Drosophila melanogaster: one gene and its partners. Changing the gene in region 2 together with the main gene of any one other region gives a genetic interaction. Each region holds a gene or a part of one and is shown on either strand. Other genes may lie near its edges.

The links. A genetic interaction does not mean that the proteins touch.
Region 1: of hth (region 2) and tsh, changing one suppresses a phenotype caused by changing the other (phenotypic suppression), as found in Drosophila melanogaster (one study listed by BioGRID).
Region 3: of hth (region 2) and cnc, changing one suppresses a phenotype caused by changing the other (phenotypic suppression), as found in Drosophila melanogaster (one study listed by BioGRID).

Annotation. Positions count from the first base shown.
Region 1 is NT_033779.5:21,826,350-21,832,243, reverse strand, and holds the start of tsh (teashirt), read right to left. Parts: upstream 3,652-5,894; 5' UTR 2,439-3,651; coding exon 2,386-2,438; intron 1-2,385. UniProt on the Drosophila melanogaster protein: Homeotic protein that acts downstream of Arm in the Wg cascade during embryogenesis to determine segment identity throughout the entire trunk.
Region 2 is NT_033777.3:10,610,510-10,616,189, forward strand, and holds the start of hth (homothorax), read right to left. Parts: upstream 3,768-5,680; 5' UTR 2,491-3,767; coding exon 2,476-2,490; intron 1-2,475. UniProt on the Drosophila melanogaster protein: All isoforms are required for patterning of the embryonic cuticle. Acts with exd to delimit the eye field and prevent inappropriate eye development.
Region 3 is NT_033777.3:23,218,311-23,224,117, forward strand, and holds the start of cnc (cap-n-collar), read right to left. Parts: upstream 3,652-5,807; 5' UTR 3,536-3,651; exon of another isoform or gene 3,452-3,535; intron 2,587-3,451; exon of another isoform or gene 2,334-2,586; 5' UTR 2,107-2,333; intron 940-2,106; 5' UTR 598-939; coding exon 1-597. UniProt on the Drosophila melanogaster protein: Plays a role in posterior cephalic patterning. Probable subunit of a heterodimeric regulatory protein involved in the control of head morphogenesis.

The sequences.
Region 1 (5,894 bases), on a different chromosome or scaffold from region 2:
CTTTATTTCCTACATTTGTTCAAGTGTGTAACATTCAAATCAAAACCACTTATAATTTTTATAGCACCGATTGTTTGCTTAGAAAATATTTCACAGAAACATAATTCAGCGGATTCCGTTTAGCTTATTTTGAATGATTGTCTGATTAACTTTGAAGTATATGCAAAGGTTATAAATTTTTGATGATAGCTCTATATAATAACTTTGTATTTGTGTGTGGGTGCGCATTGTGCTTTGCTGATTGGGTTTGCATTTGAAACGGACGGAAATAACCAAACTTAATCAATATTTGAACGTGAAAATCAGCCTGTAAAATCTGCCTAAGTTGGTCGAAGCGTCGAATATCAAGTAATTGTCATGTGCTATTGTGTGACGAGCGATCGTTCACCGAAAAATGAAATTCTTAACCGGCATTAAGTTGTTTGATTCGGAGGAGTTTTGTCACTGGGCCCTATCAGAAAGTCAGTGTTTAATTGATGGATTGTTTACTAACAAATCCGGCCTAGCGCAATATTGATGATATCTTAAGGAACGTCGGAACAAAATCTGATTCATGTGCAGCTTATTTTGAACTCAGTCACCTGCCAGGTGACAGTTTATCAAAGATAGTTATTACACACACCGCGCAATCACTCACCGCTAATTAGCTATCCAGATTGCAAGGGGCGATTGAGCCCGCAAACAACCCATTTAGCGGCTCGTTTCTCCATTATTTTGCTTGACTAGTATAAAATACTTGGCAACGAGTTTTCTCCGCCAGCATATCATAATCTGAAATCTCGTTATTCGATTAGGCTTAAATCAAAATGATTTATACGCAACTCCAGCAAGTGCAGTTAATTACAAGTTGAAATGTCTCATTAATAATCGAGAGAGTTGCATATTGATATGCACCCGTAACGCTCAGGCTAACTAAAATAGTGGGAGTACACCCATTGGTGTGATATGGGAGAGTTGGTTGGACCTCAGGTGAGAATATAAATAAATATGAGTTGACCGATCTGAATTTTTTTATAGTAGAATTATTGTTTAAAATGTTTATTCCCTAGTATATTTTTACTATATACTGCGAAATGAAGGTTATTAATAACAGTATATCTATTTGTGCCGAATACAACACACTGTCCCTGTTAAAGCAAATCTAAGGCACGACAAATCCGTTAAGGTAGCAGAGTAAATATTACTAAACATACACATGCACCCGGAGATACAGCCACACGCACACGCACACGCCAGCGGCAAATTGTGAACATAAATCTCTCCGGTAATAGGCGCACACGGGGAAATTGGAGGGGGTGGAGAATGGAAAAGATGGCAAGCAGAGCGTAGCGTATTTTGAGTTTTTCACTTTTTCGCATGATTTATTCAATTCGACTACGTCATCGCCTTGGAAAATCTTGAAAATTCGTGTGTATCTGCATGCAAATCAAACGAGAGCGAGACAATTTGTCGCACTTTATTATTAATACTCCAGATGCACCCCCGAATACCCTCGCCCCCGCAAATATAGTGTCATAAAACCCGTTTTTAGCCTTCAGTTAATTTGCTCAGACTCAGGCTCACTCGAGTGACTGTTCGAGAGCGAGTTCGAAAAATATCTTGAACTTGTTTAATCATAATTTCAGAGAAACCCAGATACAGATACACAAACGCTTACCCCAAGTTAGTATCCCATCATCGAACTATGGCGATTTTTCTGTTATTTTCGGATTTCCCCTGCCAGCCACCCTTTTCAAATCAAGTTCTGCTTTTCCCGATCCGAGGGTCTGGACTCGTAGTCGTGAACTCAGTACTCTTGGTTCTGCGGGTGGGTGTTGTGATATATGGGCGCGCTATTGGCGAGGCGCTGAATTTATAACGACAGGTGTGCGACTACGCCGAACCGCCAATGCCAATCATCAAATGCCATGAAATCATAGTTTCTTGATATATTTATTTGGCCGATTTGTGGTTGAGAGTCTGCAATACTATTTCAACAAGTTCGGCTATCAGTTCACAATGACAATGGTTTTTGATTTTGATTGAAAACGTTCTATATTCAATATATGTCGTATATACTTGGTATATATAATATTCTATTTAACCAGATACTTGAACGCACATAAAAAGCAATTGCAAAAAAATAATATTAACTGAATGAGATGAATGTAATTATTTTATATGTGAATATTTTGAGTATGGCCACTTTTAGTTAAGAATTCAATATTTCACTATTTCATAATGAAAAACACTTTGATGCACTTTGGTAGTAAAATCTCAGTTCGTTTATCCTTCATACCCAGAGTAGTCACATTTTTGAATCCCCCGAATAAGGCCATGTGAATCTTTTTCTTAATTCTACATCTTTCACTGTTCTATGGAAATAATCTTCCATATAACACTTACCCGGCATTTAGCGCCTGTCTGTAGATCTCGAGCATCAGAGCCTCGTGTAACATTTTTAAATTTTGCTGAATTTTGACGGTTTGCTGGAACTTGGATGGTTTGCTCTTTTTGGAGCAAACAACGAGGATTTTAGTTGGATTTTGGAACTTAACTTTAGTTTGACACAATGATCATATAATCTATTGTTTTGCACTTGGTACGTTGTAGTATAACTTGTTGTTGTTGCAGCGTATAACTGATTAATTTATATTTTTTGGATTTTGTAATTTATAAACTTTCGTATGTCAGACAAAAAATGACGTTTCGAGGCGTTTGTATTTTTAATTCCTAATTTGTGTTGATTTAAATTTAATTTATTAATTGCATTGAATCGTATACTTCGTTAAGGTTTGTTGATTTAAGTAACTGGCTTTACATTATGTATGTAGTGTAATTTTGGTGAATTAAATACCGTTTAATGTAAATATTTGCAATAGTTTATCTTTAGTTTTGGTAATAAATATATTTTTGTGGTATATTTTGTTTAGCTTGTGGTAGTTTTACGTATACTTTGTTGAACCATTTGTAGTTGTATGTTTCTCGTATGTTTCAGTCTTGATCGAGCATTTGCGTTCGAGAGTATCAAACCTCTGCTTCTTTGACTAGATATGATGGCGGCCTGGAAAACACTCGTTCTATCCTCCCCCAAAAACGCGTTTTAAACTGAGAATTCACTGTTCTGGCGGAACCGCGGGTCGCGATGCGTGCGTCTTCTCATCCGGATTCGTCGTCACTACTCGAACGAAAGTCCAAAGGCGATTGAATCCCGCTGGCCGGGTTCCTTCGTCACTAGCCTCTGCTGCGGTGCTCTGCCGGTGCGCTGCTGCTGCGCTGCCGTCGCTGTCAAGCTGACAAACAACAACAACGGGGCGCTGCTGCTCTGCCTTCACTGATTGATACGGATGAAAAAATGAAGCGACGCGACGGACGCGCAGCGATTGGAAGCTGCGCTGCTGTTGACGAGCAAACACGAAGCCCGCGTTTTGGCGACGGCAATTTCTGATTCGATTTTGCGTTCTGGCGACGGCTGCGCACTTGTGTGTGTGTTGTGTGTGCCGTGTGTGCCACCCACACCCTTGCAGGACAAGCTGGCTGTCAGCGTGATTAAATGTGCTACTCTCTCGCTCGCACTCGCCGGCACTCGGCTAACTAATTACCGTACGATTTTTCCAAGTGCGCCGAGCTTTTTCGCACGATCGTACGCAGTAACGGTTTCTTGTCGACTGACTGACTCTTGGCGAAAAGAACCCGAAACCGATGGGTAGCCAAAAGAGAGCGCGAGAGAGAAGAGAGAGAGAGAGCGACAAGAGCGCAGACTTTCCCCTGTGCTGGCAAGTGAACGCTTGGAACTGAAACAGGGGAAATCGCTAGGGAAAGAGATAGCGTTGTGGGACCGCTCCGTCTCGCTTGCTCCGAAAGTGTGTGAAATCTGTTTTGTCGTTTCGTCACCCTTCTTTTGTCCTATTCCGAATCCGATTCCATCACAATTAAGATTTATGACAGTTTAACAAAAATGCTCTCACTCGCATGCGCCGTCCTGCTCGCAGCCACTCAAACTGTGTCGGTCCCTGCTCTGTTTTTATTTCTTTTCAAAATAAACAGTAGTTGTTGCTCTCTGAGCTTTTCGCCCTCGTCACTTTTAGCCTCTTCCCTCTCGCTCACCTTCCTTCATACCCTCTGCTGTCAACTTTTGTTCGCCTTTCTGCAGCTTCTTCGTGGATCTCGCTTCTTTTGTTTCGTTGCATTGCTGTGCGAGCGAGTAGGAGAGTGAAAAAGTGGAAAAGTGGTTTGGGGCAATTTTCACTTGAAATCAACCCATTCCACTTTTCTTTTTGGCTGCGAAAACAATTGAATTAGCGACACTCCGGCCGTTCTTTCCTCTGAAAATGTGCCAAAATGCCGCGATTTTATTAGTTTTCATGGCAAGGTGTCAATGTTTGTGAATGCGTGAATGTAAGGCTGTGTAAGAACATTGATGTACATATGAAAGTATAAAGCCGAATGAAGTACAAATTTGGTTTAATAAGTGCCTTTATACAGTCTAAAAGATGACAGCATTGAATACTATTTAAATACTAGTATCATTAATACTCAAGATCACGTCTAATAAGTGCATCTACAATATTTTTCTTTGTGCCGACCCTGGTTACCTTAAGTTTATATATTGCATGTACTTTTTCACATAAATTGACAAACGTATAAAATAGTAACTTTCGATACATTATAATACATTACATTATAAAACATTATATACATTATTCTATAAAATTATCAACCGGTAACCGAGCATTGCCTTGATTCCTATGCATATTTACGGAGACGACTACTGAATCAAAATTTAGTTGCGAGGAGTCCACGAAAGGTGCCCCTACTTAGCCCAAGGCATTTTAAGCCAAGGTTAAACTTCGCTAAAACCCACCTAAACTGGCCAGTCTCCAAATGGCGTAATATCCCCTGGACTGATGTGTTAAAAATAGTGCTATTTGGTGGAACTGGTTCATATGGTTATATCTGACGACCTCCAAACACCGAGTACCACCCAAAACACCCACTGAAGACTTTCAATCACGGTGGACCTGCAATACTGGTATGGGCTTGTTTATTTTTTACAATGGTATGAGTCCATAACATATGATTTATGGTATTATAGACCAAAACGCATGTGTAAATATACTAAGGGATGTCTTACTGTCATATTCTTATTATAATATGCCCTTAAAATGGAAATTCCAACAGAATAATGATCCGAATGGCAGAAGCAAATCGGTTAAGAAAAGGTTCACCCAAAATAGAATAGATGCAATGCCGTGGCAAGCACCATCTTCCGATTTAATCCCGATTGAAAACCTGTGGGGGGACATTATACAATATGTGACGAATAATTCCCCGACGTCTAAGGCTCAGATTTGGCAAGTTGTGCAGGATGCATTGGCAAAAATTCCCCCCAAACGTTGCCAGGACCTGGTGGACTCCAAGCCGCGTAGGTGGTGGCTAACAGAGGCTATCCAACACATTAATAAGAAAAACTGTTAGTTTTAAGTCAAATTGAATTTTGTTAATATTTTTTTATTGCACTGCTCTTTCAGTGAACACCAGAATATCTGCCTATTATGTTGTTTTGATCTATATTTTAGAAAACTATTAAAGAAATAAGTGTGAAATTTTTGTTGAATTGTTGGAAATTAAATACCTAATGATATTATAAAAAAAAGCCCATCAAAACTGTAAATCATAGGATTTTTCTATATTAAACTCGCAGGTGCAAAGCACTGCTATTTTTTATGAACACAGCTGTATATTGATTTAAGTCAGAAGTTAGCATCACAATAAGGGAGACATGCGTTAGTGTAAAGTACATGTACATACATACATACATATGTACAAATAATATCTCTTTAATTTTTTGCCAGTTTTTATCGATATTTATAACTTTGGTATGCAATTAAATTCCTTGAGGCTAATTAAATTTC
Region 2 (5,680 bases):
GGGTCGTGGCAAAGGGGGTAAGTGGGGAGCCCATGAGTCATGCGGTGAGGCTGGGAAGACTGGAGAATTGCTCACTTAATTAGAAAAGAATTCGCGACGAAGGTTGGTCGCTGGCAAAGATTAAACTATTGCAATATGATAAGGACTAGGCGGGAAAAAATATTACTATACTTTGCTGACGAATGTTATTTTGTAACATAGGGAATTTCAAATTCAATTTATTGTTATTAATGGAATGAGTTCAGCAGTTGGTATATTTGAAAGTACACATTTCAGCGGACCATTGTTATATACTGATAATATATACATATATAACTAGAATTTTTTTCCTGGCTCAACAAAAAAAATGTTTTAGTTTGCCACCTAAGTCGAATTCCGAATGTTTCCATCAACTTTTGCAAATGCTGCTGGCCACTAAAGTAAACCACAGAATCGACTGTGGCATTTTCCGCTGCTCCGCTCTCCTTGATCTTTTCTATTTTGATTTTGATTTTATTTCTAAAGCGAACGAGAAATACAAAAAATAGCTGAACAAACACAGTGGGAGAGGCGAGCACACGATAGACGAATTATATTTTATGCCACAAATTACGCTGCGGTTAACCTTTAAATTAAAATAACACCAAAACAATTTTTGTGCTGCATTTCGCAGGCGTTTGAAATGGCACACGAACTGAAAAATGGTGGGAAAAGTGAGGGGGCGCGGGGGAGAATGGCAGCAGCTGCAATGCACATTTTTATACAAATTGCAATTGCACATTTTTTTTTTTTGCACATTTTACACGGCCGCTCTTTCTCACTGTTTCTCTCGTTTGCTCTCCGTTTCGATGGCATAAAATAATCAAATTAAATATATATAAAAATGCATGTGCAGTTTGGTTTGAGAAGAACCCGCGAAAATTGCTTCCCGCCATTTTTCGCAAATTATAGCAGCGCAAAGTCATGGAAAATGGTAAAAATAAAATTGTAAATAATAAAACCACGAAGCGGCATAAACTGAATGGATCGCTTTTGGGCCGCTGGCAATGTGCAAAATGTGCAATAAAATTATATGCATCAAATGCACACAAACAGACAGAACACCCGTATATATTCACATACTCGTACATACATACATATATCTCTCGCCCCGAGTCGAAAAATTCATTTGATGGAATTGAAATGGCGCGATTCGGGTAAAGAGCCGCAGGAGAATTACGAAAAAGGGGATTCAAAGAGGTAAATTCGGCACAGAATCGGGTATTAAACCACAGGCGTAAATTTATTCGCCAGTAACGCAGACACACACAAAATTCCCGCGGGCATTTCTTTTTTCCCATCTCCATTTCCATTTCCATATCCATTTTTATTTTTTATATTTCTTTCTGATTTTTTTAATGCTCCCAAAGAGCATGGCCCACCTTTTGGTAACACACACACACACACACACGCTAATTGGTAGCACACACACAGGCAAACGGCCATGTTTGAGGTCTTTTTGCTCCGTTAAATAAAAATCAAGTTCACTTCGCATGTCCATGATAATCAATTGATAAAGTCTAACTGCGATTTGGTAATAATATTTTTTTGAAGAGCGGGCGAGCGGAGACTGCCGGTCACCTGATTAGCATATAATTTACGATCCAGATGGATTGTAAAAATTATTACTCCGTTTAAAAAGCGAGGCGAGAATTTATGCCTTATAAACGTGATGGAAAATGGTGGAATCATTGTGGCTATGCAACGGGGGGGCTTTTCGGAGGTGAAGGTCCCAGCCATGTTTAAACAAAAATCGAATCAACTATTGCGGTGTGAAAATGAAAAGTTAAGGGGAAAAGCTAACAATTTTCAATAAACATTATTTAATGATTTTCTAGAGTAAACCGTTGTTTAATGTAATACAATATCTATCACTATTTCGGCGATCTTTGATTTCCATCACTTCCCAAATAAAATGGTCTAGCTGCAGACTCAGTTAATTATATAAACTTGTACCAGAAAATGACCCGCATAAATCAAATGTGATTTCTGTCCTATTCCAATACACATAAGCACACACACACACACACACTCAGAAACGCTTAGTTAAAATTCATTTTGATAGGGCTCTAATAAACAAGAACTATTCCCCATTGAATTGATTGTAATGGGTTAAATTGGAGAAGCTTGGAGGCCATGTATAAGAAATATTTATATAGATCTACTTCATGAAGTTGGATTAACTAATATCTGAAGATTTTTAAAACTTTTTGCGTATTCTGGTTATAGATTGATTTGGTTACACTGGTAACATATCCATGATATGAAAACTGTTACAATATCATCATAAACTACAACCTGTAAGTGCCGTCGGCACCACTTGACTTGATTACAAATTGACTGAACCCCATTTGTTTTTTAGCCGTCGGAACTTGTTTAAGGATAACAACACTCTCGGGGGACCATTCTATATGGATTCTATATATTTAGAAAGTGAACTTTGGTGGATCTACTTACCCTGGGCTGAGCCATTAATGCTCTGGGAGCGACGTCTAACCCGATTTGTGCCACTTTTTACAGTAGGAACAACAAATGGGGGCGCAACACACTGACCGACGTCCCGCTCCGCCGCTGCAACTGCTTCGGTTTTAGGGAAGCTCTACTGTAGCTGCCCGTGTGGAGTCCTTAGATTTACTCTTGGCTTTTCCAGTTCTTCAGTTTTGGATGTTATTTTCTTGGATTTTTATATATGTTTTGCACTTTTTTCATGTATTGGGAAGCCTTTGCTTTTTGAACGCTTTGCTTCTTGATTTTGCTTTCTTTTTTTTTAACACAGGCACATTTGTTTAGATTTTATGTATTATTATTACGTTTGTATACTTGTTGTATTGTTGATGTTGTCGTTTTTGTTACGCGCGCGTTTGTTGTTTGTTTTCTAGAGCGGGAGATCTGGTTTTGAATGTTTTTTTTACTTGTGTGTTTGTTATAATAATTATTTACATAGCATTTGTTTGGTTTATAAAAATCGTATACAATTTGTTGTTGGTTGCCGTTGCAGTTGTTGTTGTTGATGTTCTTGGTATACTCGTGTATTGTAGTAGTTGCTGCAACATCATTTGTTACTGGGTTGCATTTGTTGTTGTCATAAATCCATGGCGTTTTTTCCCTTTTCCTCTCTCTCTCGTTTTGCGAGTTTCCTTGCCTTTTCCTTGGTTATTTTTATAGTAGTAGTTGTGGTTGCTTTTAATTTTTATTTGTTTGTCGTATACTCTTTTTGCTTTTTTCGTATAATATGCGCACTATTTATCACAGCTGCTTCTACATACTACGTTACTAGAGATGAACAAATTATATTGTTAATATATAATGCAATATATTCTGTTGTGTTTTTGCGACGGCAATTTGCGTGTTTCTTTGTTTTTGCGGGGGGATCGGCGGGATCCCCTCGTTGAAAGAAATTCCCTCCGCGGCCCTCAAATAACAGTATTTATTTTGGCCTTCAATTGTGAAAAGGAGAACTTTTCGATTGTGATTGAAAAACACACTAAAAAACGTGATTGTTTTGTTCGCGCGATGGAAAAACGCGCGCGATTTCCAAAGTGTTTCTTGTGTTGTTTATTTGTTGATTGATGGCAAAACGCGTGGTTAACGGGCAATAATAATAATCATAATAATAATAAACTTCACCGACGGCAACACTTTTTCGCTTTTCTTCTCTTTTTTATTCGAACGCAACGCAACACAGACACACGTCGTACGCGCTTCGCAGTCAAAAATACACTGTGCGGATGAAAGATATTTCATCGAAAAACCAACCCGCCAGATACGTTTGAATTTACGCTACAGTCGGACGTGTTTCCACTCCTAACATCGCTGTTAACTAACAGCGAAGAGAGCGCTGAGCGACAAACAACAGCAAAGTCAACGGGTGCAAGCGGTGCGGCATGATTGTCAATCATGCAGCTGCCCCGCTCTGTTCAGATGCAACAATTGTGCCATTAACTCGCTCTTGGCCATAACTCAGCGAGTGCAAGCGAGAGGAATATATGGTTTATGCGAACGCTCCGGCGAATTGCCTGCGCAGGCGCGCTCGCATCCTGGGCGACGATGACTGATTTGTTGGTACGCCTCTTCTGTCATACACACACTTGTCATTCACATGCATATACAGTACCGTACAGCGGTGTTCTATCTCTTTCTCTTTCTCAGTTTTCGCCTCTTTTTGCGCAATGTTCGCCGCGTTTGAAATTTATTTGGCTTTGGCCAAAAGGAGACGGCTTATGGGTTTTTCGCCCCTCTGCCGGCGTCGGCGTCGAAAATCAGCAAAAACCAATCCCATTTGTTATTTTCGCTTGAGTGAGTGGCAGTTGGCAGCTTGGCTCTTTTTCGCCGCACCTTTACAGGTTGAAAGGCAGCGAGAAAGCTTCAGTTGTCCATCAGCTTCAGCTTTCGCTCACTTTTCGCTCTCTTTTGGCGCCCCCACACACACTCGCACACACACACTTTTGCCCGAATAGGCAACGCCTTCGAAGAAAAGCGGCAAAAAAGAGAAGAAACTTGAAGGAGAAGAAGAAGAAACGTGGACGACAAAAACAAACTTTTCGCTGCAGTTCCTTTATTGCGTCCTTTTGGCTTGTAACGGTGATCTGGCCACTTTGGAAGGATATGCGATCCTGACAACAACAAACAGCTGTTCGAGTTTCTCCTCTCTCTCTCTTTCTTACTTCTTGGGGAACAACAACAAATGGAACGGCGATAAATTGTCAAAAACATTCGCTGAAAATTGCATATTTTGCAGGTCATTCTGCGCTCCTGTTTGGCGAATCTACTCTCATTTGGTTTTTTATATACCCTGTACAAATGGTGTTACATCTCAAACCAAAAATAAAAAATTGAGGAAACGGGCTTTTGCATTATTTGAACAAGTTTTTTGATGACAAGTATGTTTGGGCAATTTTCAGTCAATTGTGATATCTTCGGCGTGATTGTACAAATTTTTTTTTACATTTTAAACTAAAATAAATTAGTCCAATTTGTTTTACCAATAACTACAGGGTAACAAGGTATGCCAATCTTCGTATTCAGTCCGAAATCCTGTCTATTGTTGCTGTTATTGTTACTGTCGTGTCGTCGTCCTCGTGGCAGTTTAAAAAGCAGTTAACACATATTCCCAGGCCATTTTTCACCAGCGTATTTTTGGCTTGGCGCTGCAGTTGCCATTACGCCGAAAGAGACGGGGATACTGGCGAGCGAGAGAGACGGGGCGATTTGGCCGGCGTTTTTAGGAAAATGAAAAATAGCCTTGTTTGTTTTCCGACGCTCGCCAAAAGGATTTCCCGTGTCTGTTTTCGCTGGTCAAAAAGATGATGTTGCACTTAATCTGGTTGCCATTTCATCCCGAAATCCCAAACCCCCAAAATCTTGGGAACTATGTATGATATAGGTGCTCTGTTTCTGCGTCTTGTCAACACTTTGACAAATTTATGAGACTTTGATTGATTTGCGGTTGCTTTTTCCCTTTTTTCGTTTCGGGACTCGCTTTCTTTTGGCTTTTTCAGACGTCCAACTTTTGTGCGTCTGCTCGGGCCAAAAGCCAAGTAATTTATGTGAAACAAAAATCACATAAAATCGAATCAATTAAGTGCAATAAATTAGTGAAACGCTTAAGTGTGGGAACTTTTCAGACTTATCGGTGACCAAGTTAAATTCGAATAGATCGATC
Region 3 (5,807 bases), about 13 Mb from region 2:
AATGGAACGCTGATCCTGCAGCGCATGTGGCGTGAGGAAAGTGTCCAATTCTGATGTTGGATGCAGCGGCGAATGGTTGGCATTTCCAGGGTCCAGCGAGGCGGTATCAATGTGGATTTCACCCAGTGCAGAACCACTGGTTTGACCACCCGAGGTGGGTGCACCACCAGTACCAACCACCATTGTACCGCCAGTGGCGGCAGCACTAGTGCTCTGCACATCCTGCAGAGCTGCCGTCTGGACACTGCTATTCCCGGTGGTGTTGTGGAGATTCATTACAAAAGTGCTGCCGTTGAATCTTGGCGGAAGCTTGCAGCCCCCTATGCCATTGGCCATTCCCCCCAAGGAAGGATCGTCGAAGTTTAGGAGATCCTCAATGCGGGGACTCAGTCCTTTACGATTTCCATACGGGTTGTGATCCATATCCAGGCGGTGTACCGTCCGCAGCATCTCCAGCTCCCATCCATCGCCATGGGTGCCCAATTCCAGCTGCGAGTCCCAGCGATGGAGCAGGTAATCGGGATTATAATGCAGCAGACTCAAGGCCAAAGCCAGCTGCAGCATTTTCATAGCGTACGATTTTTTGTTTGAGATCATTTTGTTGCTTTCAGAGGTTTCGATACGTGAGCGAATGGGTGCGTGGGTGACTCTTGTAGTCCGTAGTCCACCTCCGCCCGCCGCCTCCTCCTCCTCCTCCTCCTCCTCCGCTGCTGTTGTTCTTGTTGTTCTCCGTCCCGGACAACAGCTCTACGGCTGCGTCGTCCGGGATCTATGCGTTCAATGACGTCGCCTTGCCCCGCCTTCCGGCCTCCTCCTCCTCCTCCTCCTTCGGCGTTCCGAAATCTGCGCAAAAAGCTGAAAATTCGCAGTTTCCACGGCCTATCTCCCCGATTTTCCAATGCTCTTTGCTTTTAATTGATGGCTGTCCTCGGTTTTGTTCTGTAAGCAAATCAAGATGTGACAACAAATAGAATGGAATTAGTAAGCATAACGATTTGCTAACTATATGTACATATGCAAGTATGTAGATATGTAGTGTAATATTCATACATTGCCGCATGGCCATATATGCAGTTTGAATGTTAAATGAAAATGCTTTTGTTTCGAGTGGTGCAGCCTTTGTTTTGTTTGCCAGTCGATTTTATAAATTGCTAAGCACGAGGAAGTGCACCAAAGAAAGTTCAACTTCCGGGTCGGTAACGTCTTTTATTAAAAACACATCTAATTTCCACATCGCGATTATATTAGGATTCATATTTATTTAGCAAAAACGAACACAATTATGTTTTTCTGTTCGCAATTATGTAGTTAAGGTACATAAGTAATACTTTCGAGAGATATTAAAATAAATGAAAGATTGTCGTAAGGAAACATCCCTTATCTCTATTATTTAAACTTGAAATTATAAATGTGCAGAAACACTAACAAGGTTTTGCTACAGAAACACAACACATAGTTTGTTTTCATACCAAACCAAAGTGGATAGCCTAGAAAGGCTGTTATGATGATGACCTAGCGCATTTCAGCATAGTTAATTTCATATTCAGAGACAATTAAGCAGGTCAAGAATCGAATTTTCCGAAATATGTGTGTATAATACATAAATACATATATGCATGTATCCTTCTTTGGTTGTTGTTTTGTCCGAATTCTGTTTGATATCCACAACGCATTTAATATGCCCATCCTGTCCAGCCACACACACACCCCCCCCCCCCTTAAACAAGGTTAACAGACAACCGCCCACCCGAAAAAGGGGGGCGTGAGGCGGAAGGAATGACCCAGACCCAGACGAAATGGCTTTGAACTTGAACTTGTTCAAGGTCTCTCGCGAGCATTTGAAATGTGCGCAATGCGAAGTGAAGCACCCGATTCAAGGACGGACGAAAAAATTGTGTGCAAAATTCTTTCAAGGTTCGATATAAACTTTCTTTGTTTAAAGCCATTTTAACAAAAATCCAAACTTTATTTGGCTCAATTCTCAATGAAAAGATGTGCGCGAGAGAGAGAAAGAGAGGGGTAGGGAAATGACGTGTGCATGTGCGTGCAAGAGAGGGTTCTTGTGTGGGTGTGCGTGTGATTGTGGCTGTATTGCAGTGCACTCACCTCAAATTTTTTTTGGATGATGAGACCCGACTACAACGGTAAAAAAGCTGCGGCGCAGTAAATGTTCTCCTTGTTGTTGTTGCCGTTGCTTGATCTTCTTTTCCTCTTCGCTGCTTCTTCTTCCCTGCAGCACACACAATGGTTTATTGTTTACCGTTCACTTTTCTTTTGCTCTGCAAGACCTTATTTGTTTATGTTTCACTTTCTACGATTTTTACTTTTAATTGCTGGAAAACACGCGTTTTATTTATTTAACAACTTTAAATATATATTTCGCTTGTCTGCGTCCTTGAACTTTCTCTTCTGCAGACAATTTGCATTCAAGTGCCATTAAATATTAATAACAATTGATATTTGATTATGTGCCACCTGGTGCTTCTTTCTCGCCGTCTGGTACGCACTTTTGTGTGAGAGTGTGTGTGGTGGTGGTGCCGTTTTACGTGGTGAAATCGTCACTTATTTGTTAACCCTATATTGGACCTACGTCAAATTAGAATTTGAAGTCATTTGTATGTTAAGATTTTCAAGACAGCTGTAAAATTATTTAACTACGTTAAGGTACAAAAAATTGTCAAGTCCATCAAGGGTTAAAACAATAATATTTTCGCTTCGTTTGTTGTTTTTACACTGCCTAATATTTGCATGTGTTTTGCCTCCACATTGCTTTGTATTTCTTTGTTTTCTTTTATCGCCCGATTCTCGTCTCTCTCTGACTCACACACCAAAAAAAAAGACACGCACACGTTGAAGCATACAACTGCTGTTTTTTCTTGCCAATTCCAATTCGGTCTGTGCCCACAATTAATGCAATTAATTAAATGCAAAACGATTTAATTTTTTGCTGAGAATCGCGGAGAGCAAAACAAATAGGAAAAATGAAATATGGAAGCTTCGAGAATGAGCAGAGAATAACCGGCAACGGCAGCATTTCAACATTCACTCTGCACTTTGCATCAACAAATTATTTATCAAATTGCTAGTTCCTTTTCGTTCCCTATTCTTTCTAACTCGATGTTTTTCTCGATTGCATTCTGTCAGCTGAGCGGTGGAGAGGGAGCGAGAGAGGGAGACTGAGCGCGAGAGCGAGAGGGGGCGATTGCTGAATAACTGTTGTTGCTAGCCTGTTGGTCGTTGTTGTTTTGATTGCCTTTAACCCACCACCCCCACCGACAGTACCACCACCACACAATGAGTTGCACTTATTTAGTGGGGCATGCAACATTTCGCAACTGTAGTTCTTAAACGCACAACCGAAACTTTTTCATTTGTTGTTCCGGCACACAAGCACACGCAGCCAGACACGCACACACACACACACACAATTTAAGCGGCGTGTACTTCGCACCTTTACGCGTCTTCTTTCACTGTTATTTGGCAAATTATTGTCGCGTCCGCTTTGCTACTCTCTTTCGCCAACCGCCGTACCTACGTGGTGAGCTTGAAAACGTGTTTTGTTTGTTACGCCGCGTTTGGCAATTTCTCCGCCGTCGAAATCAGTCGCGATTTTCGATTGCGGCCTCAAAACATTTGAGGCAAAAAACGTCTGTCCAGCGCGGTGCTTTTATCAAGTGTGCCCAGTTGAGGCTCTTTGCAGACGATTTTGTTGAGTTTTGTGCTTTTGCGGTTTTTTTCGGGGCCGCCAAGTGCGGTCTCACCATAATACATTGTGCTTTTAACAGAAATGTTAAATGTAGCTTAAACTAACAGTGACAGAAAGAGCTTTTTAAAGGAGAGCTAGAAATGTAGATTTCGGTTACAAATGTATCTTTATTACCTACCTTTTATTTCTAGATTTAGTTTTTAGAAAGAATATCTTAAGAATATAAAGAACATATTTATATTTTCCCTAAGAGTAACTTATGTAGACATGGTGGCTATTGCAATTTTATGTAGATATGGTGTAAGCTTATAAGCTTTTGACACGTGTCCATGCAAATTTTTCAGTTAATTTGCATTAGTCATTTTTTTAACTAGTTCTACATAACAAAGTTGAAATTTGTATTAAAATTAAAAATAAAGGGATATATATAGTTTTATATTTCCTTAATATTAATTTAAAATAATTTTTTTTCATGATATTGATATTGATATTCTACATGCATGCAAAAATACAAATATCTTAACAATAACTTCCGTTAGCTATTGATATCACAAATGGATACATTTGTATTAGACTTGCTCAATAAAACAGATAGCCACACTATTCAGAACGTGTAATTCAAAATATAGCTAGAAGACTATCAATCTATCTAAAAGACCTGCTCATAAAAATTAATTTAGATTGATGGGGGTAATTTATAGATATATTGCGTTCTGAACTGGGAACATTTGTGCTGGCATTTGGATAAAGTAATTAACACCGAAGCCTTTCAATACTTACCAGATTGGTAAAATGGAAGCCACCTTTCCAAATGTTGGTCTTGGCGTTACCTGGCGTCGTCGATTGGGTGATGGATGGCGTTGGCTTGGCCAGTACAGCGGGCGTGGAAGCCACCGTGGGCTTAATCAGCTTACTCAACTTCGAGGGTGGTCCAATGGGCACCCGGACGGTGACCTTCTTCTTCGGATTCAGCTGCAATTGGGTCTGGTGGTAGGTATATTCGATGTCCTTCGCCGGGGACAAGGATTGCAGCCGAGGCAGATCCTCTAAGTCGATCATTATTGCTTATCAGCTGGCACAAATGGTGATGAGTCAATATGTCAACTGGAATGAAAGCGAACACACAGATAAGGATGGGTCACTAGGTTGACTAGGCTTTTTTTTAGGATGGTGGTTTTGAACTTAATAATTCTGTTCCGACATTAAATATAAACAGTTTGTTTTCGGCGTATAAGAAAATGTGTTTTTACTCATTTTGATCAATGTGACAGATCAAAGATATAATAAATTCATATATATTTTAGTAGCCATACTCGTGTGATTTTATTTTTAATTTCTTCGAATTCCCTGCTAGTAACTTTATCGAACTTTCACTGTAAATGAGCTATAAAAACTGATAAGCGAACTTCGACGGGTGGAATTCAAAAATGAGATATAGCCAACCTAATGGTTTGTTTTATTTGCCATTTATTGAGAAAATTACACACATTCACACAAATTCAAATGTAGATAAGTACAGTGGATGCCCAACAACAATATCAACTCCCACGAGAATCCAGAAAGATAACCGCGTGGAAACGGCATTCATTATCTATCAATTGATTTGGGAACAAAGTATTAGGTATCAGTAACCATAGAGGGATTTCTCCATTGTACACAATACAGTGGGCCCTGCCTTGGAAGAATGCAAATTACATCAGCCAATGTTCCACAGGGGGAATTTTTCGATTAGATTGGGACAATAAATGAATCATAAAATAAATTAAATTGGTCGCACTTCTAAATTTTGGGAATCAGCCATGAGTCCCTGCTATAAATTTAATCGACAGGTTCTTTATAGAAATTGGTCAAAAGATTCGTACTTATTTGTTAATCTTTTCTTCTTTAACTATTAAAATCTATGGTGTTAGCAATTTTAAATGACATTTCTATTTATAAGAAATGTACTTAATTGTGTAGACTAATCAATATTATAATTTATTTGCTCTTTTTCATAACAGCTATCATTTTGACCTTTAACGGTCTGCTTCTCTATATGAGCATATTATCTATCTATTATCTATTCAAAACAAATACGTTTTTTATTGGGCCACCTAGAAGT